Linked DNA regions of Oryctolagus cuniculus. The protein of the gene in region 2 interacts with the protein of the main gene of each other region in a pairwise test. Links are inferred from orthologs where the notes say so. Each region holds a gene or a part of one and is shown on either strand. Other genes may lie near its edges.

What was found.
Region 1: the proteins of DAB1 (region 2) and PIN1 interact in binary tests that used the Homo sapiens proteins (3 or more experiments, as listed by UniProt). The two-hybrid records come from large-scale screens. The link is inferred for Oryctolagus cuniculus from reciprocal best matches to the Homo sapiens genes DAB1 and PIN1.
Region 3: the proteins of DAB1 (region 2) and LNX1 interact in binary tests that used the Homo sapiens proteins (3 or more experiments, as listed by UniProt). The link is inferred for Oryctolagus cuniculus from reciprocal best matches to the Homo sapiens genes DAB1 and LNX1.
Region 4: the proteins of DAB1 (region 2) and CLASRP interact in a two-hybrid assay, tested with the Homo sapiens proteins (2 studies listed by BioGRID and IntAct). The link is inferred for Oryctolagus cuniculus from reciprocal best matches to the Homo sapiens genes DAB1 and CLASRP.
Region 5: the proteins of DAB1 (region 2) and MBNL1 interact in binary tests that used the Homo sapiens proteins (3 or more experiments, as listed by UniProt). The link is inferred for Oryctolagus cuniculus from reciprocal best matches to the Homo sapiens genes DAB1 and MBNL1.

What each region holds. Positions count from the first base shown.
Region 1 is NC_091447.1:67,377,421-67,382,251, forward strand, and holds the start of PIN1 (peptidyl-prolyl cis-trans isomerase NIMA-interacting 1), read right to left. Parts: upstream 3,100-4,831; 5' UTR 3,003-3,099; coding exon 2,945-3,002; intron 1,855-2,944; coding exon 1,639-1,854; intron 1-1,638. UniProt on the Homo sapiens protein: Peptidyl-prolyl cis/trans isomerase (PPIase) that binds to and isomerizes specific phosphorylated Ser/Thr-Pro (pSer/Thr-Pro) motifs.
Region 2 is NC_091438.1:116,065,256-116,069,504, reverse strand, and holds part of DAB1 (disabled homolog 1), read right to left. Parts: intron 4,088-4,249; coding exon 3,539-4,087; intron 1-3,538. UniProt on the Homo sapiens protein: Signaling adapter of the reelin-mediated signaling pathway, which regulates the migration and differentiation of postmitotic neurons during brain development.
Region 3 is NC_091439.1:110,395,078-110,399,326, forward strand, and holds part of LNX1 (E3 ubiquitin-protein ligase LNX), read left to right. Parts: intron 1-2,885; coding exon 2,886-3,127; intron 3,128-3,606; coding exon 3,607-3,762; intron 3,763-4,249.
Region 4 is NC_091449.1:11,677,473-11,682,337, forward strand, and holds the start of CLASRP (CLK4-associating serine/arginine rich protein), read right to left. Parts: upstream 3,014-4,865; 5' UTR 2,885-3,013; intron 2,095-2,884; 5' UTR 2,030-2,094; coding exon 1,931-2,029; intron 1-1,930. Other genes in the region: transcription factor RelB, read right to left, coding at 3,488-3,873. UniProt on the Homo sapiens protein: Probably functions as an alternative splicing regulator. May regulate the mRNA splicing of genes such as CLK1. May act by regulating members of the CLK kinase family.
Region 5 is NC_091435.1:128,811,912-128,816,782, forward strand, and holds the start of MBNL1 (muscleblind-like protein 1), read right to left. Parts: upstream 3,134-4,871; 5' UTR 3,030-3,133; intron 715-3,029; exon of another isoform or gene 548-714; intron 1-547. UniProt on the Homo sapiens protein: Mediates pre-mRNA alternative splicing regulation. Acts either as activator or repressor of splicing on specific pre-mRNA targets. Inhibits cardiac troponin-T (TNNT2) pre-mRNA exon inclusion but induces insulin receptor (IR) pre-mRNA exon inclusion in muscle.

The DNA.
Region 1 (4,831 bases), on a different chromosome or scaffold from region 2:
TAATCCCAAAAAGGTTTAGGGACAAACTCCCTGCCCTGCCCTACAACTCAATAAGCTGCTTCTAGTCCAATGGCACCCAGGCACCAAAGGGGAAGGGGCCTGGGCAGGGAAAGAAGTCAGGATTATGTCCCCAGAAGACCTAAGATCCAGCAAGGGGCCCAGAGGCCCAGCCTAGGACCACTGGCCCTCCCTGGGTGGGGGATCCTCAGGTCGGGGCCTCCCTGGGACCCTGGGCACACAGGCATGGAGGGACGGGAAACAGGCAGGGATGGCTCCCCCTGGCTGGCCGCTTCAGGCAAGGACACCAACAGTGACACTGGGCGGGCCTCGGATTCCTGACAGCCCCTGGCGGCAGCCCAGCAGCTGCAGAGGAGCTGATGCTGGGAAGAGGAGCCTCTGCAGAGAGGTGGAGGCGCTGATTCTCGCTGCAGACGCGTCTCCCGGGGCAGCACCGGGTCCCAGTGGGCACTGAGGAGACTCGTGTGGGCCCAGGCTGCCAGCTGGGGAGGGCGCTGGCCAAACCATCGACTCCTGATCCTCTGGAACACAGCCAGACCGGGGGAGCAGTCACCTGCACACACAGGACAAGGCCCAGGCACCCAAGGCTTGTGGAAAACACACAGGATGTCTGGTTACTGAGTGCGCCACAGCCAAGGCCGGCTCACCACGGCCTCCTAGCAACCTCTGAGGGTCCTGCACCAGTCCCACCTCGAGCAGGACGACACTGAAGTCAGAGAAGGTCGCAGTCCAAGGTCACCAGAGGGTCTATGCTGAGCCCACCAGACCGCCCGTGTCCAGGCCCAGAGATCTTTCCAGAGAAGCAGCCCATGAGCCCAGGCCTTCCCTCGACCTCAGCTCCCCCATGCATATGCCTCAAGGACTGGGGTCAAGCCCCAGACACCGAGCCCACGGCTCCCGGCTCTTCATGGGGACACGCGCCCAGCCTACAGAGGCAGCCACCGAGGCTCAGAGAACACAGCTGCTCCAGGACACACAGCTGGCACAAGACCCCAGTCCTGAGGAGCCCAGGGTGTGGTGGGCCTCCCAAGCAGAGCCTCGCCCACTTCACACACCCCTGCATCCTCCCAAGTCTGTCTCCTGAATCTCTCTAGAATCCGCCTCCCCCTCATTTCCACCCTCGGCCCACCCCAGGCTCGAGCCACACTGCCTCTGCCTGCAATCTCTCCCACAGCCTCCACAGGCCCCCCCCCCCCCCCCCCGCGCTGGCAGCCTGCTGACATCCCCAAATCTCCACCTACGGAAGAGCGGGCCCGGGCCCACCTGCTCATGGTCTATCCCTTCCTAAGACCCAAGCTGGTGAGTGCAGCCCCACCGCAGCACCGACCCAGAGCTGGGAAGGCCGCTCAGCCTCCTGCCACCTTACCCGGATCACCCCACATGTCCTTTTGGCCTCCCTGCTCTGCTGAACCCAGACCTGCGTCCGGCTGCCTCCCCAAGTTCCGCCCCCAGCCCCCAGGATTTAAAGGGCCCCGCCCAGGATGAGCCTCTTCCCAAGTTCCCTCTGGCAGGAACTCCTGCAGCTCTACCTCCAAACGCCCTCTTCCTCCTGGAGTCGGCGAGCCTCAGAGCAGGGAGAGCAGAAGTGGAGAGGATCCCGGCCCGAGAGCCCCTGCTCACCGTTGATCAGCTCCAGGGCCTCCTCCTTGGTCCGGGTGATCTTCTCCTGCCGCCAGGACGAGGGCCGCCGGGACTGGCTGTGTTTGACGAGCAGGTGCGAGCAGCGGACACGCGCCGGCTCCCCCTGCCCGATTTTGCCTCCACCGCTGCTGCTGTTGCCGCTGGGGCGCTCCCACTGGCTGGCGTTCGTGATGTGGTTGAAGTAGTACACCCGGCCTGCGGGGAGGGCAGCAAACCCATCGCGTGTCCACCCTGCGCCACGGGCGGACACGGCAGCGCACAGCCCCTGTACTGAGGGGGCTCACATGCTCAGTGGGGGAAGACAGGCTCCAAACCAGCAAAGACGACAACAAGAGAACCCCAATGACTGCTAACTTCAGGGAAGAAAAAATAACACAGGGGATCGGGGGGTTCCAGCAACAAATCCAGCTGAGCCACCCACTGAGGCTAAGATGCTGTCTGTGGGCCTTATCTCCCCGAGCCTCAGTTTTACTCATCTGCAAAATGGGGGTGAGCGAATCAACACCATCAAACCTCCCCTGGGTCGACACACAAGGACTATTACTTCGACTGTGGCCACTGCGGGCTCCAGGGGCGGCAGAGGGACCCTAGACCTACTCAGAGAAGCCGGGCCAGCTCCTCGGGCGCTCGCGGTGACACAGGAAAAGCGCCAGGGGCCCTGGAGCAGGCAGACTGGGTTCCAAGCCGGCTCCAACCCCCCTGAAATGCACGATCTTGGAAGACATCCTTCCACTTCCTGGCCTCAGCGTCCCCACTTGTAAAATGGGCGCACCAACGACCCATCTCCCAGACGTGCGGCAATTCTCAGAGAACTAAAAACACGATGCGGGGTGCACACCTAACGGGGCCAAGCTTTCGATTGGGCTCCAAGCAGACTCAGGAAGAGGTGTGGCCGGCAGGTGTGTGTGCCACGCCTCTCTGCTCGGTGAGGGGTATCCCCCTCCCCAGGGAGTGCCCCGGGCCCAGCTCCCCGCAGAGCGACAGGTGCAGCAGGCCCGTGCTGGCTGCAGACAGCCGGGCTGGCAGACTCAGTGCCGCCGCCTCAGGGAGCGCCGCGGCCTCCCCGGCCCCTCCCCCGCCCCGCCCCCTGCCTCAGTTTCCTCCCGGCTCCTGAGCCTTGCAGCCCTCCACGGGGGCGGGCCGGCGCCGTTACTCCGAGGGCGACGCGGAGGAGCCCAGACCTCACGGGACGGAAGCGGGGGGCTCCTCCGCGCTCGAGGGCAGAGCTCGCGCCCTGCTTCCGTGGGCCCGCGCGGCCCTGCCCCGGCCCCGATCCCCGCGGCACCTGAGCTGCGGCTCATGCGCTTCTCCCAGCCGGGCGGCAGCTTCTCCTCGTCCGCCATCTTCCCTCCTGCCGCAGCGCCCGCTCCGCCTCCGCCGCGCCGCCTGTCACCCGCGCCCGCCCACCGACGCTGCCCATTGGCTCGGCGTTCTCCGCACCGGGGCCTGGCAGCGACGCTCATTGGACATTCCAACCGTCAGGATGAGCTCTCCGTCTTGCTACTGGGCAGAAGCGAGAGTGGGCGGATCCCCCCACGTTACACTGGTACCCGGCCCCTAGTCGGGCTCACTCAGGCCCCGCCCCTCTCCTCTCCTTGGCTCCTAAGTGGTGGATTAGAGACTCGAGACCGCCCTTCTCAACGCCCTTTGGCGAGAGCGAAAAAAGTCCCAACCCCCTTCTTGGCGCTCTTGGCGGGCGGAACCCGACCCGACAGGATAGAGCTTATTGATTGGCTGCCGGGGCAGCAGTTCCCGCCTGCCCGAGCCGTTCCCGGAAGGCCGCACGACCCTCATGCGGAAGCGTCTGGCCGCTGTGCAGGTTACTTGTGGGAGGAGGAGGCGGTGGTACCCGTGCTGTTGCCATAACAACGCAGTTGCCTTGGTGACGAGCAGCTCAGTGCCCGAAGCCTAAGTTTGGCTTCTCCAGCCTCCCTCTTCCCACCTGCTTCTTCCAGATGTCCAAAGCCAACCCGGCCTCGCTGGGCTAAACCATTTTCCCCCCGCGGGCCCTTTGGAATCTACTTATTTCCTCTCACTCTGGCTGCTTCCTCCTCCCTGGCGAGGAGAGCGCGAGAGGAGGCGCAGGTGGGAGAAGCATGAGCTGCTGCGGGGGTGGCCGGGAGTGCCAAGGGCTGCAGGTGAACAAGGGAGCGCTTTATCGGTGTGCCAGTTCCAGACCTAGCTCCTCCACTTCTGATCTGGCTTCCAGCTAATGCACCTGGGAAGACAGCGGATTATAGTCCCTGCACCCACATGGGTGCCCCTTAACAACATCGAGGCTCAGAGACGTGGCTCAGGGAAAACACAGAGGCAGGACGAGGTAGGAGGCCAAGGGCGCTGCGGAGCCACCTTGCTTGGGGGTGAGGGGGTGCGAGCAAGTTACTGAACCCCCGTGCTTCAAGTCCTCCGATTGCAAAGTCGGAGGAAGCAATACTACCACTTCTTCTGTCTGATGCGATGGTTAAGGAGTGGTCCCTATAAAGCACTCAAAACACTTCCTAGCCTACAGCTAAGATATGTTAAGTATTATAGGCTTATATCACAGCAAATTTATAGATTCATTAAAATGTTGACTACCAGTGGTGATACAAGTCAAATGACAAAAAATGAAGAACTTTTTAATGTTCTCATTTTTAAGCACATCTTAGCATAATAATTGTAAAAGATAATTGGAGTTGCAAAAATAGATTTCACCCAGCTGGCAAATGGGATAGCATTTGACACAGCAGAACGGAAGTTTTCACTTAGGAGCAGTTTTGTTCTCCAGGGGACATCTGGTGATGTCTTGACAGTTATGGCTGTCACAAAGGGAGGAAGGGACAATTTAGTGGGTAGAGGCTGTGGAGACTGCTGCACATCCTGCAAGGCATGGGCCAGCTCCCCACAGCTCAGAATTCCCCAACCCCAAATGTCAGCATTGCCACAGCAGAGAAACCCTGCCATGGAATAATCCTCAAAGCTAGGAAATCAACAGCGGTGTGAACCTCTTCACTACACACTGGTTCCATCTTCCCACTGTTCTGTAATGCTTCAGGATGGGCTTGTCTCACGCCAGCTCGCGGTGGGACTGAGGGTGTGTGTGGACCCTGGACTCCTCGCTCTGCATCACACCAGGTGGCTGATGATGTTCAAAATGCATTGCCGATTGCATTTAAGCTGTCTACTGCTGCAG
Region 2 (4,249 bases):
ATTGCCCAGGGATCTACTTATATTCAAGTCAACCCCTGCACTCGTCTTCCCATGCCAACCTTAATCAGCTGAACGTCTGAGTTTCCCCTAGGTACGTATTTATCTTGGGCTCCCACACACTCGATGGTAAGGAAGGAGCAGATCCACATTGATGGGTAAGGCAGTAGTTCTCAAGGGATGGTCCCTGGGCCAAAGCATGTGAGCATCATCTGGGAATTTGTTAGAGATGAAAATTCTTGGTCCCTATGACTCATTTACCGAATCAGAAGCTCTGTGTTTTAAGAACCCACCATGCATACTGAAGCTGAGAACTATGGGGCATTGGCTTGCATTCTTTGACGAGTTAGCCATGTTAGAAGTTTTATGGACAGTATCTTTAATTCCCATAAACCTTCTCTGAGGTAGAGGTTATCTCAGTTCTACAGATCAGGAAAGGCAACGTTGCTACTTTGCTCATGGCAACTGGTAAAACCACATTTTGAATTCTGGCACATAGTAGGTACTGAATAAACAAGGACTCAGTACTCTGGGGAGATGGCTGTGGCTGATGGCAACTTGAGTCTATAAGGATCTGCATTTGCTGTGCCGACCTTCCTGCATGTCCCTTCTCTCATTTGTTCCAGAGCCTTATAACAGATCTGTCATTTCAAAGCACTCTTCTTCCAATAATTTCTAATTTGGCACAGAAAATACCAGTCACTGGCTCAGTCCCAAGTGAGGAGGAGGCATGGCTTGACTTAGTAGCTGCATTTCAAAAGGCATGGAGAGAGCCGTCCCCATTATCACATTCCTGAACTTGGAAAATCTGGCACTTTATGAAACAGTGAATGACTGCAAAACCTAGTGTGTACCTTTTGCCCTGGTGAACCTGTATGAAGGGTGGGAATGCTACTTCCTCATGTTTTATTTATAAGGTGTCATTGACTCAGACACTACTAGGGACTTCCTGTTCATTATTCTCCCTAATATAAACAACTTCTAGGTGTCACTGAACTTGTTTTTTTTCCAGATGAAAAAAAAAAAAAAAACACCACAGTTTAGATTAGTGAGCTGATTTCTCAGGGTTAACACAGCAATGAAACAGCAGCCTTGGGTTTCAAGACTGTCTGACACTGGTACAATTGGGTGTTGGGCTCTTGCTATTTGAGGCTCACTTATGTTCTAACCACTCAAAATATTCTTTAGAGGGTATTGATGAGTACGAGACTATAAAAACTAGTTTTACTAATTTTCTTTAAAATAATACACTTGGCATTTTTTAATTTGAAAGGAACTCTGTTTTATTTTGGTTATATCTAACAAACTAGTTACAGTGGGTTTAAAGCTAACTAAAAACACCCTGATGGACAGCAGAGGTTTAATAAACATTAGCTTAGTGGGATTCTAAATAGTGTTTGAAGTGGTTTATTGTTTACTAGCGGATGGGAACCCAGGCTGAGCTGCCAGTTCTAATAAGTGTACTGCTCATACGTAAGCAAGTAAATCAACGGGGAGCATAAACAGGAGTTTATTGACACATGTGTCTTAACCCTTAGAAGGTTTTACAGAATATTTGTGTACTCTAAAACAGCACTTTTCACTTTGGGGTGATTTCATCCTCAGGGGACATCCGGCCATATCTGGAACCGTTTTTGATTGCCACAACCGGAGGGAAGGTATGCTACCTGCATTTAGTATGTAGAGTTCAGGGTTGCTGCTAAACACCTAGAATGTACCAGAAAGTTGCCCATAGCACATAGTTTTCTGGCCCAAAATGTCAATAATGTCAAGGATGCAAAATTTTGCTCTGCAGTAAGAGTAGCTGAATGGCCTTACTTTGTTCATTTAGTTCTCTACAACCTTTCCCAAATGCCTCCAACAGGCTATGCACTCTGTGAGAATTATGGGAAGTGTAGGATTGTTGAAGACATATTCCCTGTCCTCAAAGAACTTAAATTTCTTTCACTTGTAGCAGACACACAAGCCCACTGACAGAGCAAGCTTTGTTTTTAAAAGGTGCTTGCTTACTTATACAGGGCTTTCTTTAGCACTTCATTTTGTATTCATTATTCTTCATTGAAGCTCGTTGAGTTTGAGTACATGGATCACTGTGTAGATCATACAGCCTGAGTGCACTCTGAAGGCATTCATTTTCAGAATAGCATGTGAACCTGGCTGGAATGACATAACCTAATTGCATTAACATTAGATTGTTTTTTGACAATTCACTGTGTTGGCCATGCAGTGATCCATATCACCTGTGACAGTAATGAAAATGCCAAATGCATTGTACCATGAGCTTTTTCTTTTCCCTTTTCTATAGTCAAGGTGCAGACTGGGTCACAGATCACCTTCCCCAAACTGTGTTGAATAAGCATACTTGTGCTCAAGCGTGTCTGGATCCTGACTTGGCTGCATGGTTACTGCTTTCTAGATGTTTGCAGCAGAAAAGTGAATTGGGGTAGAATCACTGACTGCAAGAACTAGAAGGAGGCACACTGCTCGTGCAAATCAATTCACTTATTTTACCAATGTCACACACGGAGTCTCAGGAAAGTCACATGACGGCCCAAGGACACAGTTTATAATGGAGGAGCCAACAGTAGAACCCTGGGCCTGGACTCTGCACAAAATCACTGAATGTTGGTAACACTGATGCTGGTAGTACTTCAAATGTCATTAGCCTGATAATGTTTTGCTACATGTACTACTGAATCCTTTTAGTACTCCATAGCCTTGGACACATGAGAAACCGCCACCTACAGAAATCAAATGACCCACCCCACAGTACAAATCTGCTCAGGAATAAAGGTAGTCCCCAGGTTCTTAGTCCAGCACTTTCTGTGCAGTCACTTTTTTCTATTTGACTACTAGAAGCTCTGAGACAAAATCTGGACTCACCCCTAATAATGGTACAAGCTCTAAGGCTGCTGCAACTCTGCACTAAGTTTCCTCCTGATGTTAATTTTCTAATCTAATTTTTAAATTTGACCCCTAAAAATATAGATTTTCACATTCATTATTCATTTTTATATCAGTTAAAACCTGTATATCATAAGCTTGAATACACATAAATGAATGAACGAATGAGAAAACCAACAAAATCCTAAGAGACAGAATGACACAGTGGAAACATACTAGGCTTATAGTCAATTGAAGCAGTCTGGTATCTCTGTCTTTGAAGCTTACTTTCATTATCTGTCAAACAGGTTTAACAGAACCTGTCATAAGTATTGATAAAAGTCTTAAAACAGACACAGGGCATGTAGAGAATGTGTATCCCAGTATGCCTTCGGTGGCACCCAAACTGGTAACTATTATTACTAGTAGCAATCTCAACAGACAAGATGGACAAAACTTAGACGTGTCTTCCGATGGTCAGAAACCTACAGCACCACTCACTGCTCCTGTGTCTTTTTGTACTTGTATACTTTGATCTCTTTTTTTACCTTTCCCTTTCTCCACCTAAAGACACTAACAAACCAAGATGAATTCAGATACAAGCAGCTGTCACTTTATCAACGGAGTAAATCCTGCGTCTTAAGTGAGGGGCACTCACGTGAGTTGGTCGATGGCGTGGTAGAAGTCACGGGGGTCAAATTCAACTGGGAGATGTCAAAGTCATCACAGTCGTCCGTATCCTGCGCCACCCCGACTTTGTTGAAGTAACTGGAGAAGGCCTCTGAGGTACAGGTGAGGGAGGGCTGGTCGGGTTTGCGGGAGGGCACGGGCGGAGGCTGAACCATCTGGAAATCCTTGAACATTTCCTTCCCCATTTTCTGCCTGGGCTTGTCGGTCTGTGGACTTGACCTGGTGGAGTCACTCGTGCCTGGGACGGTGGCGAGGGGGGTGAGGGGACCTTGGAACATGGCAGCTGGCAAAGGCATAACAGTTTGTGTGGGCATGAAGGCGGCTGGCGGAAACTGCCCGGCCACAGCGGGCCAGGGCTGCTGGGTGGCAGGAAAGAGACCCGGCTGGCCCCATGCGATGGGCTGAGCCCCCGGCATCACCTGAGCGACTGGTGGCTGAGCACCCATGGCGAGCTGCTGCTGCACGAGGGGCTGTTGGCCCCAGAACGAGGGGAGGACGGCGCCCATTGCCACATAACCTGGAAGGGTGGGAAGGGAGAGAAAGCAGAATGCATGCATTCAATGATTGACAGAGACATACTGAGCAGCTACCAAGTACCAGGTATCTAGGGACTGGGATGCCAAGAAGAGGAAGAGAGAAGTTCATGAAGGCTAACCTAGAGAAGTCCAGAGGGGACCCA
Region 3 (4,249 bases), on a different chromosome or scaffold from region 2:
TGCGACAAACACCTGTGTCCGTGCTGGCCATGCCCAGGCTGTGACATGTGTGTTGCGACTGTTGCCAGGCAACCGAAACTGCTCATCCCTGTCCATCACACGTGCATCTTTTTTTTTTTTTTTTTGACAGGCAGAGTGGACAGTGAGAGAGAGAGAGACAGAGAGAAAGGTCTTCCTTTGCCGTTGGTTCACCCTCCAATGGCCACCGTGGCCGGCGCGCTGCGGCCGGCGCGCCACACTGATCCGATGGCAGGAGCCAGGTACTTATCCTGGTCTCCCGTGGGGTGCAGGGCCCAAGCACTTGGGCCATCCTCCACTGCACTCCCGGGCCACAGCAGAGAGCTGGCCTGGAAGAGGGGCAACTGGGACAGAATCCGGCACCCCGACCGGGACTAGAACTCGGTGTGCCGGCGCCACAAGGCGGAGGATTAGCCTAGTGAGCCGCGGCGCAGGCCACACGTGCATCTTGATCTCAGACATGTTCAAGTGTAGGCAAACGAGCGTCTTAGAACGGATGAATTGTGGGAGCAGCTGCAGTCTGTTGAGAACTTACTTTGCACAGTGCTCCCCCTTACCCAAGGGTGAGACTGCGTTCCCAAGACTGCGGCTGGACGCACCAAACTCTGCCTGCGCTATGTTGTGTTGTTTGTTTGTTTCTCTATACAAATCTATGATGTATACATTAGGCACAGTAAATATTAGCAATAACAAATCAAATAGAACCATTAAAATCCTAGACTGTAATTAAATTGCCAGCATCACTACTCTTGCACATTGAGGCCATTGCTAAGTGAAATGAGAGCGACTTGAACGCGAGTTGTGATCCTGTGGCAGTCGGCCTGGTGACTGAGACGGCTGCGGATGACTAACGGGCAGCAGGGAGACGCTGGACGCAGGTGGGGGAGCATGACCACACACAACCTCGTCATCTCCTCTTGCTGCGCAGAACAGCAGGTGGCTTAAAGCTCATGAACTGTTTCTCTTGGGGGAACTGAAACCACATAGGGCAAAACGCGGATGAGGGGCGAACCCCCGCGTCTAGCTTGGAACTAGATTCAATGTCTATCAACCCTCACAGCAAGAAGTGTGCAGGACAGGAAGTGTGGCCAGGACAATCAAATTCCCCCAGAACTCCCAGCAGGGCCAGGACTCTGGTCCAGACACCAGGACCTCCCATCCTGCTGGTTCCCTGGGTCCACAGGCAGTGTGAATCCCACGCAGATCAGCTGTGGGCTGAGGTTTGGTTCTGTCCAACACGTGAGCCACCACACCAGACAGGCTCTCAAAGAAGTACTTAATAAAGCTCAGTCACACCGGGGTTTGTGTAATGAACTGATAAGAATAATTTACAACTAGCGCATCCATCCAAGGGAGCGGGGAGCTCAGCCCACATCTCCCGCATGGGCCACGGCGACCCAACTGTTTGGGCCGTCACTGCCGCCTCCCAGGGTGCACATTAGCAGGGAGCTGGAGCAGGGTTGGAGCCAGCACTGCAACCAAGTACCCCAACATGGGGCGCAGGTGGCTTAGCTGCTAGGCCGAAGGCCCACCCCAGCAAGTGGCCGGTTGTTAAAGGGGCTCGTTGGTGTGATTTCCACCCTCACCACAGCCGTGGGAGCCGGCGTGGCTGCTCGTGGAACCCTCACCACAACACAGTGAGATCATCCCCATCTCCCTACGGAAACCGGGCCGCTGGCTGTGATGAGCCCCGTGGCGGTGGCCGTAGGCTCCTGCACGACACCCACACTGCGTCAGCCCCGACCTGAGCCCCGGCCGGTCTCTCCCTAGTCCATCTATTACCCCAGTGGCTCGCCTTCCTCACAAAGGGCGGGGCTTAGGAGCGGCCAGTTTTTTTGATTCCAGGGATGATGAATGGGCGGGAACGAATAGGCTTTGTTAAAAATCGTAAACGCTGTTTTCAGCTCCCAGCTGCAATGAGTGACATTTTTCAGCTCATGGGAGCCCCAGCCCCTGGGCCTGGGCTCTTGGAGGAGCACGGGGGCCAGTTCAGAGCAGCCCAAGGCTGGAGAAGGGAGGCCCCCCAGCCCGTCCCCAGGGACCGGAGATGCCAAGTGAACTTCTGGGGCTATTGGTGACAGCGATGCTGTTGTCCTGGACGGCCGCACACACGGAACCTGGGAAGAGCCCGATTCTGTGTTCTGTGCTGCGGGAGCAGAACCCAGAGGAGCAGAGAGTGCGACCTGGAGCGGGCGGGGTCAGAGCAAACCCTGCAGAAGCGTCGCCACGCCCAGGCGTCCGCGGATCGCCGGGCTCCAGGCCCGGGCTTGTGGTCATCGTGACCAGTGCAGCACCCGCTGCTGGGATGGCTTTGGAGACGACAATAAGCAGCCTTGAGAAGCTGTCTTCTCCGGGCTGGGCATTCGGCCCGTTAATTACAGCTCCTGTTCAGATGCCTGCATTGCACATCACGGGGCTTGGGTTCGATGCCTGTCCCTGGCTCCTGGCTCCTGGCTCCGGCTTCCTGCTGCTGCACAGCCTGGGAGGCAGCGGCGATGGCTGCCGTCGCTGGGTTTCTGCCACCTGTGCGGGAGAGCTGGGTCCAGTTCCTGACTCCCAGATCTCTCCTGCCCTGGCCTTGGCCGCGGAGGGCATCTGGGGAGTGAACCAGCAGGTGGGAGCACTCACTGTGTCTCTCCTCGTCTGTGTCTCTCCCTGTCGAATAATCAATCTTAAGTAAATAAATAAATAAATACAATCATGTTCTCAAGTCATAGTGCAGCATGTCGGCGGAGCACTTCTGTGGGGAGAGGGAGGTTGAGGGCGGGGAAGGAACCCACCCTCCCTGGGGTTTGTAAGAGGCTCTGACTGGACCACGGCAGCCCCACCGGAGCCTGTCCCAACCGTGTCCCCCGGTCTCGTCACAGCTGCAAGGGTGTCTCCCACTACGGCCTGACCAAGGAAAGGAAGCGGCGCTCCCAGCATGGCTGTCCCGACGGCTGCGCGAGCCTCACAGCCACGACGCTGTCCCCAGAGGCCGCCACAGCCACCTCCAGCCCCTGTGCTGCGGACGAGCCCGGCCTGGACAACCCTGCCTACGTGTGCACGGTGGAGGACGGGCCAGCAGCCAACAGCGTGGCCGACACCGGCCACAGCAACCCAGTCAGGGGTGAGTCCAACAGGCAGTGGTCCGGGGGTGGGCTCTGTGCCTTGGGATTGCCCTCTGTGGCTAACTCACCATGGACAGTTCTAGGAATGTTGCTTTAACGGGAAACTGTTGGGGTAGTTTTGGCAGCTTACCCAATGTCCAGTCTGCAAAGCAGACCAAAGCCCCAAGGATCCCAGATCACCAAGGCTGTGTCTGTGCCTTGGTGTGGGGCCTGCGGGGTCCTCAACCCACCCCCCCCCACACACACACACACAGCACTGCCCGGGGCACATGCTCTTCTAGCCAGTTCTGCCCCGGAAAGAAAGAAAAAGACAGATTTCTCAACAAGCTGCAAACACGTCATTGTAGAAAGTTGAGCAGATCCTGTAGGTGAGCAGACGCTAGAATGTGGCCACACAGCGGTAGTCGCTGGGGCCGACCGGGTGCACCCGTGAAAGACATTCTGTCCACGGACAGCGACTCTCCTCTCTCTCCCACAGCACGGCCCTTTGAGCGGTGCACCATCAGGAGCCGGTCCTTTAAGAAAATCAACCGCGCGCTGAGTGCTCTCCGAAGGACCAAGAGTGGTGGGGGCGCGGTGGCCAGCCCCGCTGGCCAGGGCGGGGACAGTTCTGAAGACATCGCAGGCCCGGAAGGTAAAAGAACCTTGGGCGAGGCTGGATAAGGGGCGTGTTTCCAGGGGGACGTCCATCACTGGGGGTGACAGCCACACCCCTGCCCCCGTGGCCCTCCCTTCCCTTCAGGTTTGTTGTTCCCATTGGGCCAATGAGTGAGCTGAGATCCAGGGGGTTGGGTCACCAGCCCCCAGTCGCCCAGCTAGGAAATGCAGAACCAGGGTTTAACTCAAGTCCTTGGGCTCCAGAGCCCAGTGGCCCGGCCACCAGCCTATACCACACACCTGCCGCAGCCCGCTCTCGGGGGTGGGGGTCGGGGCGGAGGAACCTCTGAATTTATCAGAGCCAGGCCTGCGGTGTCAGATCTTTCCAGATGGCAAACGCAGAGGCAGGGCCCAGAGGCTTCCCGGCCTCCGTGTTCCAGCCCGAGCCGCCATCCCCAACACCCCTCTGCGCACTTCTGTTCCAGCTGGGGTGCAGAAGCCGTGCTGTTCCAGGCTGCTGGCTG
Region 4 (4,865 bases), on a different chromosome or scaffold from region 2:
ATCGCGCCTTCAGCCGCCGCCACCTCAGACAAGGGTTCTGCCTCCTTGAACTTCCACGTCCGCAGGAGACTACCAGCTCAACAGCTGGCTAAGACGCCAGCTCTGCCCTCTGAGCCCCAGCTCACCACCCCCCAGCAGGTGCACCTCCTGGTCTGGAGTGAGGACTGGACGCAGCACAGGCACAGGCTGAGTGAGGCACGGCGGCTGGCGCCCCGCCCCCAGGCCTGCTGCACAGGGAGGGCACGGCAGAGGCCGGCGGCAGGGGCAGCTCTCCCTCCACGTGCCCACGAGCTCCTGGCCCGTACCGGGCCTTTGTCTAGGACCCAGCCTGACCCAGGCCCTGGGCTCGTGGTCACGCTCTAGTTATTCCGACACCACCGGAGAGCAGCTCGCTCCTGCCCGGTGGCTCCTTGCCGGGTGCCAGAGGCAACTGGAGGGCTCTGCGGGGTGGGGTAACAGCAGCCCCCCTGCCCACGGGTGACTGGGGATTAAACAACCCACACAGCTGGCCCAGCACTGTGCCGTACTGGGCTAAGCCTCGCCCTGGGGCACTGGCATCCCATATGGGCACTAGTTCGAATCCCAGCTGTTCCTCTTCCAACCCACCTCTCTGCTGTAGCCTGGGAAAGCAGCGGAGATGGCTCAAGTGCTTGGGCCCCTGCACCCACGTGGGAGACCCGGAAGAAGCTCCTGGCTTTGGATTGGTACAGCCCAGCCACTGCAGCCATCTGGGGAGTGAACCAGCAGATGGAAGACCTCTCTCTCTCTCTCTCTCTCTCTCTCTCTCCCTCCCTCCATCTGTAACTCTGCCTCTCAAATAAAAAAAAAAAAAAAAAAAAAAAAGACCCGACACATCTAAAGACCTCTCTGGAGCCCGAGAAAACCAACCGACTAACTGCTGGTCTTACTGTTGTCTATTGCTTCAGACTGTTTCCTGGGCTGGGCTCTGGCATGCAAATGCAAGCTCTCTCAGGGCTGACTGGGTGTGTGTGGACCTGGATGTAGAAGCCGTGTACACACGCGGACACAGACACACGCACGCACGCATGCACACGCATGCGCACACACACACGCACACACGCAGGGTATGAAAGCTCACGATTGCGAGGGCGGCACAAGCGTGGGGACAAGACCTCCCTGCCTGAGATCTGAGAGGAGCAGGAGGCAGCGGAAGTGGGGACACGTCACGGGAGGGCCCCGCGCTGGCGAGCACTGCGGTCCAGAGGACCGGCAAGGAGGCCCGGATGGCCCGGGCAAAGTAAAGAGGCAGAGCAGGGCGCGCGGCAGAAGGCAGACCATGCGGGACCCTGCGCCCGAGGTGAAGAGCTGAGTCCTCCAAGGGTGGGAGGGAGCCAGGGAAGAGTCCGGGGCAGGGGCACGGGGGCGGCCGGCTCCTGGGAGGCGGGGCCCTGGCACGGTGGCGAGCCGGGCGCTCTGTACAAACCACCCAAGGAGCCCCGGAGCCGCAAACACGCGTGTTTCACGGCGGATCCCGAGGACTGGTAGGACCTAAACAGGCGAGGCGATCCACCGGGGGTCAGAGGTGGAAAACAGGCCGGGGCCGCGGCCACAGCACCTGCGCCCCTCAGGCCGGGCCGGAGCTGGGTCTGTTCACTAACAGCAATCGGAGAACCCAACGGGAAGGGGACGTGGTCAGATGTCACTTCCTCTATGCCGACGCCACTCCTGCTGTGTGCCAGGCCCAGCCTCAGAAGTGCCTCAGCTCTTGGGCGCCGGGAAGACGGCCGCTGGGTGCCCACGGGCGGCGCTGCAAGGACTCCCTGTGCCTGCTCAGGCCCGCGCGCGGAGGCCGCACCGCGCACCACGGCGGCCAGAGCCGAGCCCACAGGGCTCCCAAGCCCCGCCTCCACCCGGGCGTCGGGCCTGCCTGCAGGACCCCGCGCCGGGAGGGGCGCGCACTGGAACTCACGATCTTCTCGTAGTACTCCCGCCGCCGCTCCGCCCTCTTCTTGTAGTCCACCATCATGCCGCGGAGCTTCCGCTCATGCTTGCGCGCCTCGTGCCACATCGCGCTGCGGCCGAGCCCCCGGGGCCCCAACCTGGTGGATGAGGGGACCCGGAGTGTCCGCCGGTCTGAAAAAACCATGCAACACGCTGGTGACCCTCAACGCCTCATCGCCCAGATGCGGGTGGGGGGGGAGTGAGGCTGGAGAAGCCGGTGCCAGGGGCTCCCGGGACCCCCAGACAACCCTGAGCCAGGAGCTGGGGCTCTCCGAGCAACCCGTGGGTGACCGTGCGGCGCGCAACCCCGGAAAGGGACAGAGTCCCAGGAGCAGGTGCAGGTGCAGGGGTCAAAGGTCTGCGATCGGAGGCGGCGAGTGTGCAGACTCCCAGGGGCTGGGGGGCAGGCTCCCCTCGGGCCACCCGCGATGCGGGCAGGAAGGGACGGAGAAACGCGAAAGATACAACGTATCGCGGAGGCGGAGGGAGGGGTCGCGCACGGAAGACGATGGCAGCTGCGGGGGACGGGGGACGCGGGGGCGCGCGGAGGAGAGCGGAGGGGGCTGAGGTCAGCGGGAGCGCCGGTCCGTGCGGACGGGCAGAGCCCGCGGCAGGCGCAGGTGGGCTGACGGCGGGGGCGCGCCGGCTGACCCGATCGTGCCCTCGCGCTGGGGCCGGCCCTCTGACCGGAGGGCGGCGCCTGTGACCGGCGGCGGGGCCGGCACGGCGCGCTGTGGCCCGCGGCGGGGGCAGGGGCGCGGCCTGCGGCCTGTCAGGCCGAGGGCGGCGAGGGGCGGGCGACCGCGGCGGCCCGGGCTCCGGAGAGGCCCAGGGCAGCACGGGGACGGCCTCGGGCCAGGGCGAAGCTGGGTTCACGCCCGATCAAAGAGCAGGACTCCGCAGCCCCCACGTCTGCACTCACCGGCTGGTCGCCGCCACCCACCGCTGCGCTCGCGCGCGCGGCCCGCACCGGAAGCGGAAGTGTGGGCCGCGCCGCGGGGGGAGGGGAGGAGCGCCGCGGAGCGCGTTTCCGCCGCCGCGGGGGCGTGGCCTTCGGGGGCGGGGCGTGGCCTTCGGGGGCGGGGCCCGGGAAAGGGGCGGGCCCGGGAGGGCGGGACGCAGGAGAGTCGGAAGCCTCAGCTGGGCTCCCCGGCGAAGACGCGAGACCCCCAAGGCTCAAAAACTATCTTTATTGGAAGACTGGACAAACAGCCGACCCCCCGTCTTCAGGTCTGGGGGAGGCCGGGGATCTGCCTCCCGATATGTACAGTGCGTTCCGAATCCGCCTGGGGGGAGGCCCCGCAGGTCCGGCCCGGGGCGGCCGGGCGGGACGGGACCGGGCGCGGGAGCGAGGCCCCGCTCCCCTCCGGGCCCGTTTCCTTCTCTGTGAAATGGACCCAGAGGGAAGCCCGCGCTTCGGGGCGCCTCGCCGGCGCGGAAGATGTCCGATGCAGGACGAGCAGGTCGAGGACTGACCGCGGGGGCCCCCAGGGAATGGGGGTTCGCCCGGCCCCGCCGCGGGGGGCTACGTGGCTTCAGGCCCCGGGGACAGGAGGCCGCCGCCGAAGGCCGCCTCGCGGTACTGGTTGGGGAACATGTTGCTGCCCACGAGGCTGGCGGTGCCGCCGTCTCCGGGGCCCGGGCCCGGGTACGAGTCCAGGGTCAGCGGCTCGGGACCAGGTGGCTCCCCCATGGCGGCCCCCGGGCCCCCGCTGCCCGCGACCGCGCTGGCGAGGGGCGCCGCCGGCGGCAGGAGGTCCAGCATGGTGAAGAGCGAGGGGGCCGTGGCGTCGTAGGCGAAGCCGTCGTCCAGGAGGTCGGGCCCGCCCGGCGGCTCCAGGCCAGGCAGGGACACGGTGCTGGGGAAGAAGTCTGTGTCGGGCAGCAAGGCCGATGGCGGGAGGAACGAGCCTGTGGGGACGGACCGGAGAGAAGGGCTGGCGGGGGCGAGCTCCGGCCACGGGGAGGCCCGCCCTCGCTGGCCAGGCACACGGAGGCACCGCGCAGGGAGACCAGTGGCAGAACCAGGCCTCTGCACGGCCGGGGGCGTTCCCCAAGCACAAGGAAGGAGCCCACGCTTGATGCCCCCCGAGATACAGAGACGACCCCCAAAGGGGAGCCGACCCAGGCCAGAACTCCTACGGCGAGTGTCACTATGAGGGGGCAAGTGTCACTATGCGGGGCTCTCCCAGTTTTTCAGCCCATGGGACTTGTTTCCCACCTCCCTTGCAGTTTGTGGTCCTTGAGCTAAGTTCTAACTGGAATGTAAGTGTGATGACGGGAGCTGCGGCAGCCACCTAGCATCACACGATGGAAACTGAATTGGAGTGGAGGAGCCGGGTGTGAGGAGCACACAGCCACCAGACCTGGGCTGTGTGAGGGAGGAGACGAGCACGTCTGTCTTGTTGAAGCCCTGTTATCTGGGGTTTTGCTGTGAATTCCGTCCAGCGTGGTCGGAACACAACGCAGGAGACAGTGCTGACGTCCGGCGAGTCCCAGCATGCCCTGGGCCCTAACTGCGCCCACACCGTGATAAACCGGTGTACGACGTGCTCTCCCTGTATCCTGGCAGGTGGGTGCCCACCTGACAGACGTGGAAACTGAGGCCCTTGGGCTGCGGAGCTGCTACACTGGGGGCGCGGGACTCAGATCCAGTCTGATTCCGACGCCCAGGCACGAGGCCAGCTGGGGGCAGCGATCCAGTGGCTGGCCCCGGGGACGCTTCGGACGGCGGCTGGGCTGGCGCGGCTCACGGGCGCTGGCGGCTGGCATGTGAGTTGAGAGCAAGCCAGCGCCGGGCGGGCCAGCGGGCGGTTGGCATGGCGACGGGCTGAGTTCCAGCCTGGCTGGCTCCCACCCCCAGCCTGTGCCGCTCCACGCGTGTCCTCGTTCGTGGAGACACA
Region 5 (4,871 bases), on a different chromosome or scaffold from region 2:
TTGATAGAAATGTAAAATGGCTTGTCCTTATCCTTTATATATGCACAAATTATTTCTTCTATGAAAATGAAATACATAATCTATCTTGAGAGCACATGCACGGTAATCACGCTTATTTTTGCAAATACAAGAGTTTTCTCAAGTATCAGCACGTATTTTCATTAATATAATAAATACATATATGCCACATATGACACTTATATGAAAGTTGGCTTCATTAAAAATAAGTAGAAAGTCAATAGATGTAGGAGGATGCAAATACTTTTAAAGGTCTGGAAGACCCTTATTGGCTAGATATAGAAGGTTTTCTTTTTGAATTCAAAACATGTCAGTCTCTTAGTTTGCACCCAAACCATAATTTTTCTTTCAGGCAACAAATATTCTTTATTCTTGCAAATGGAAAAACAATCAAAAGAAGAATAGACAAAACAATCAAGAAAAAGAAAATATTTCAATGTTCTTTTGGAAATTCAGTAATTTGTGTCACAAATAGCATTGTTTTCAAGTGAAATTAAATAGTGTAGTTGTCCTTCGTTAAGGTGAAATAGAGCACTCTGTAACCAAGTCTTCCTTTCTACAGATGGACACTTTGAGAAGGTCGTCTAAGAGGAGGCAGAGATACCCACTTAACTGAGATTATTATCAAGATCAGGTCTGGCGACTCCCAACAGGTCACCCACATGTCACCCACAAAGCCAACCATTCTTTATTAAGGCAAAGACCAAATTTTATGATTCTGTAGCCATCCACATTTAGCACTTCTTAGAGTCAGTAAAAATGTCTGTCTTACATAAGTGTTACATGAATATAATCTATTGAAACAGTAAAATATATCTATACTTCAAAAGTCAAAATTCATCTATCTTGCTATAAATTATTTATAATATTAAATGAGGATACTTCAAAAAGCTTCATGGTAAAATTAAATTAAAAGACATTTATTTTGTTGGAAAAATTTGAAATCCACTCATAGTTTTTTTCATAATGTGAATTTTCCATTATCCTTTTTATGACCGTTCATATCTAATTTCACTTTAAAATTCTGGGCTTTTGTAACCAGCTCTGAATGGTTTGTTAAAATGACAGTATGTGAAATAAAAAATACATGTAATGTATCCTGCCATTCTCATCATGACACAAACATTCTCCTTCAGCAATCTGCATGTCTCATAAAAACCCCCTCGGATAAGCACTGTTTTTTCTTTTGTAAATAGAATTTTCTCAAAGAAAGAAGAAATTTTAAACTTATTTCTCATAATCTGTCACTGAATCGGTCATTCAGACTTTAGTAATTCTCAATAATAACAAAAACAACAGCAATGAAATCAACAAGGCTATCTTGCAAGAAAATGGCATTTTTTCCTACTTCTTTGGCTTTCGTTTGCAGTTCTGAATTACAATGATGACCAAGTTAAACTAATTTCTATGGGCTATGTTTTCTAGTGGTTTTTATCTACTTAGTGTAATATTACATTATTCATGTCATACCCATAGAAATTAAAAATGCTTCTATCTTTTTAAAAAAGAGAGAAGAGGGGTATCAAAAAATGGTATTGTTGCAAATAGCAAAACCAAATTCTGATTAAAGTAGTTGTGTTTAATTAGCGTGAGATCCATAAAGATGCACAATTTTAATGAATCTCTTACAACTATCAATTTAAAATATTTGATTGGCTTAAGGATGTTAAATTGAGTCAAGGATTCATTTTCCAAATTTATAACAGTAATAGTATCTTTCTCTTCTCCCGATAGTTATGACAGCATGTATTGATATAGAGAATTGCAGAAAATAGTTTAAGAAGACAAGCGGTCACTAAATACTACAATTAAATCAGCATGATATTATTGTGTCCTAAAGTTACAAAACAAATCCGTTAACTGTTGAAATAAGACTTTCTTTTGGGGAAGTCATGAGACTTGTCTGAAATATAAGCCAAAATTAAATAAGCAATCAAATATATTACTTGGGATATCTGTTTTACCAAATCTCATACAAATGTGTAATGTGTGGCAAATTCTCAATATGGTTAATTTACAAAAAGTACTCTGAGTTATGAAAGTTATAAAAGTACTTACAGGCAAACTACCTGAACGTCATTACGTATAAAACCAGACTAGTTCATTTAAAATGCACTTTTAAAGCTGTACTAAATTAAACATATGGGATGATTTTACCAAAGTCTAAGCAAGCAATGGATTTTAAAAGGAAGATTTAAAAATTGCTATCTTATGATCTTATGAATATAATCCTATTGAATACGGTTAATATGTGTACCATTATTCTAGATTGGCTGAAACAACAAATTTTTTTCTATTGCTTCTAGATTATTTTAGAATTTCATTAAAGGATAAATTTCCACTTAGTTTAATTTTTTTATTATCAATTTAAATGGTCTTTGCTTTAGTTCTACATTTTAAGCATTGAAAATAAAAATTAATCTTATTAAGCGAATGATGAGTTTCTAAAATTAGCTTTACTTATTTAGACTTTTAAGTCATGCTAGCTATACTATAAATTATATTTTTCCAAATTTAAGTATATTGTGCTGATATGAAAAATAGTATAGAAATATCACATTTAAAATAACACAATATAGTTTCACCTAGGTAAAAGCAAATACAAAAATTTTCTTTTTCTTGGAAAGTGTCAAACAATATTATGCAAAAAGAAAACTATTTGAAAAAGAAGAAGGTTCTCAAATTTATTATTAATCCAGAAGTTTCTGTAGCACAAAGTTGCATGTAAAATTGCATATGAAAGGGGGTGTTTGATTTTACAGGTAAAATAATTGGGAGATCAATAAGAACTTTTTTCATCTTTTTAAAAGCTTTCTTTATAGCTTTTAAAAAGGTTGTTTGTGAGGTTGAAACTTTAAATGTATTGAATTTTTCATTTCAAATATTGACTACTCTCGAGAGAAATGTTAGATTTCTCTAGTCTACTTTGTAGTGTGGCCAACATTTAAATTGTTGGTATATAGATAACAATCCAAATAATAAATGAAAAAATATCAAACAGCATTGCTTACCTCTATGCCTTATTTATAGTTGCTTGTTAAGCTGCTTCATTGGTTCAGTTAAACTGCCAGCACCTCAAAGTGCTCTGTTCTCTGCTAGACTCTCTTTTCTGGCCACATTATTTTTTTTCCCTCCCTGTAAAAGGATAGTGCACCAAAAGAGGAAGTTGTGAAACACCAGAGTCATTATGCTTTATAAATTCTACAGAGAATGGAAAACTATTCAAAAGCTTACACTTGGAATCATGATAGCAAGCTATATTTTGTGCTTGTATACAAATATAATTAATGTATACACATATTTATATGTACAGGAAAATTTTAGAAAAGATATCAAAACTTATACTTGAAATAAATTATGCTCATTTACATAAGAAAATATCTCCTGTGTTACTAAATAAATGAGAGTCATAGAAAAACAAAAAATCCTGCTCTATGTTGAAGAAAACTGTGGCGCTTATATGCGAGGAATAAACTTGCTTTTATAGTAATGTCTAATTAATATAAAGTCTTTGGAATATGACCTAAATTCTAATATGACTGTAGGCAACTTAGAGCGAAAAAAAGGTTTAGTAAATGAGTGTTTTCCTGGAATTTGGGCCGTGGTTTTCTACCTACAAGTCTTATGCTTCCTTTCTCATGAATAGTTGTCTGTTACTTATAGATAAAGCCTTGCAAAACTGAAACTGTTAACCTATCCCCGAGCAATAGTCTCTCACAACTGCAGCCCCAAGAGTAAAACACAGGTGCAGAGCCTACCAGGCTGAGCACTGAACTGGTCAAATATCTTCCAGGTTGGAGCACTAAATGAAAATATTTAAAGGACAATAGGGGCAACAGTAGAAAGAGGACATAAACAGTGGAACAAAGCAAATATGGCTAGCAACTTCAGATAGATACAAAGGTACTTTAAAAAGTTTTGGGAAAATGGAAATAAAAGATATGTTTATTATGAAATATTTAAAAATTTTAAAATCCACACATAGTTTTTTCATAATACTCTTTGCCCACAAAGTTGTTGAATATCCCTAATATACATTTCTCCCAGGTTCAAGTTGCCAGATTACAGAAGCCACTGGATAGTCTTAAGTTTTTGTGTCGCAGTTGCTCCACCCTTCTTGCTCATTGGGGAAACGGAAGGGGGTGGACTGCAAGAAAAATAGTAATTATGCAATCCTCCGCACATTGCAAGAACCACTTTCTGAGTTTTAGAAATTATCATGCTCTCAGGGTATCACGGTTTTGCTTTTTATTTAACCGGATATCCAAAGGTACAATAAAGAGTACTTAGAGGATAATTAGAATGCTATAAGTTTCTATTTCACCTAAACTCATATTTAATGTGAATTTATAGGAAATAAAAACAAAAACAAATTGTAAGAAAGCTGCTTCCTTGGAGTCAGCATTCCAAACCATGTTAAGATGCCACTTGGGGCTCCTGCATCTCATATCAGAGTACCTGGATTCAAATCCCCGCTCTAGTACTGGCTATAGCTTCCTGCTAATGCATGCCATGGGAGGCAGCTGGTAATAGCTCAAATCCATGGGTCCCTGCCACTCATGTAGGAGACCTAGACTGAATGCCTGGCTTCTGGCTCCTGGTTTTGGCCTGGCCCAGCCATAGTTGTGGACATTTTAAGAGTGAACTAGCAGATGGAAGGTCTTTCTCTCTGTGTTTGTTTCTCTCTCTGACTGTCACATAAACAAATAAAGAAATAAAGCAAGCTGTTTCTACCAAAAATACACACATACACACACACAAAACATGAAAAGCACAAGTAACAGTAACCACAACCTTGAGAGTCATCAAATTTGATTTTGATTTTTTAGTGAAATACTTAAAGAAAAATCCTT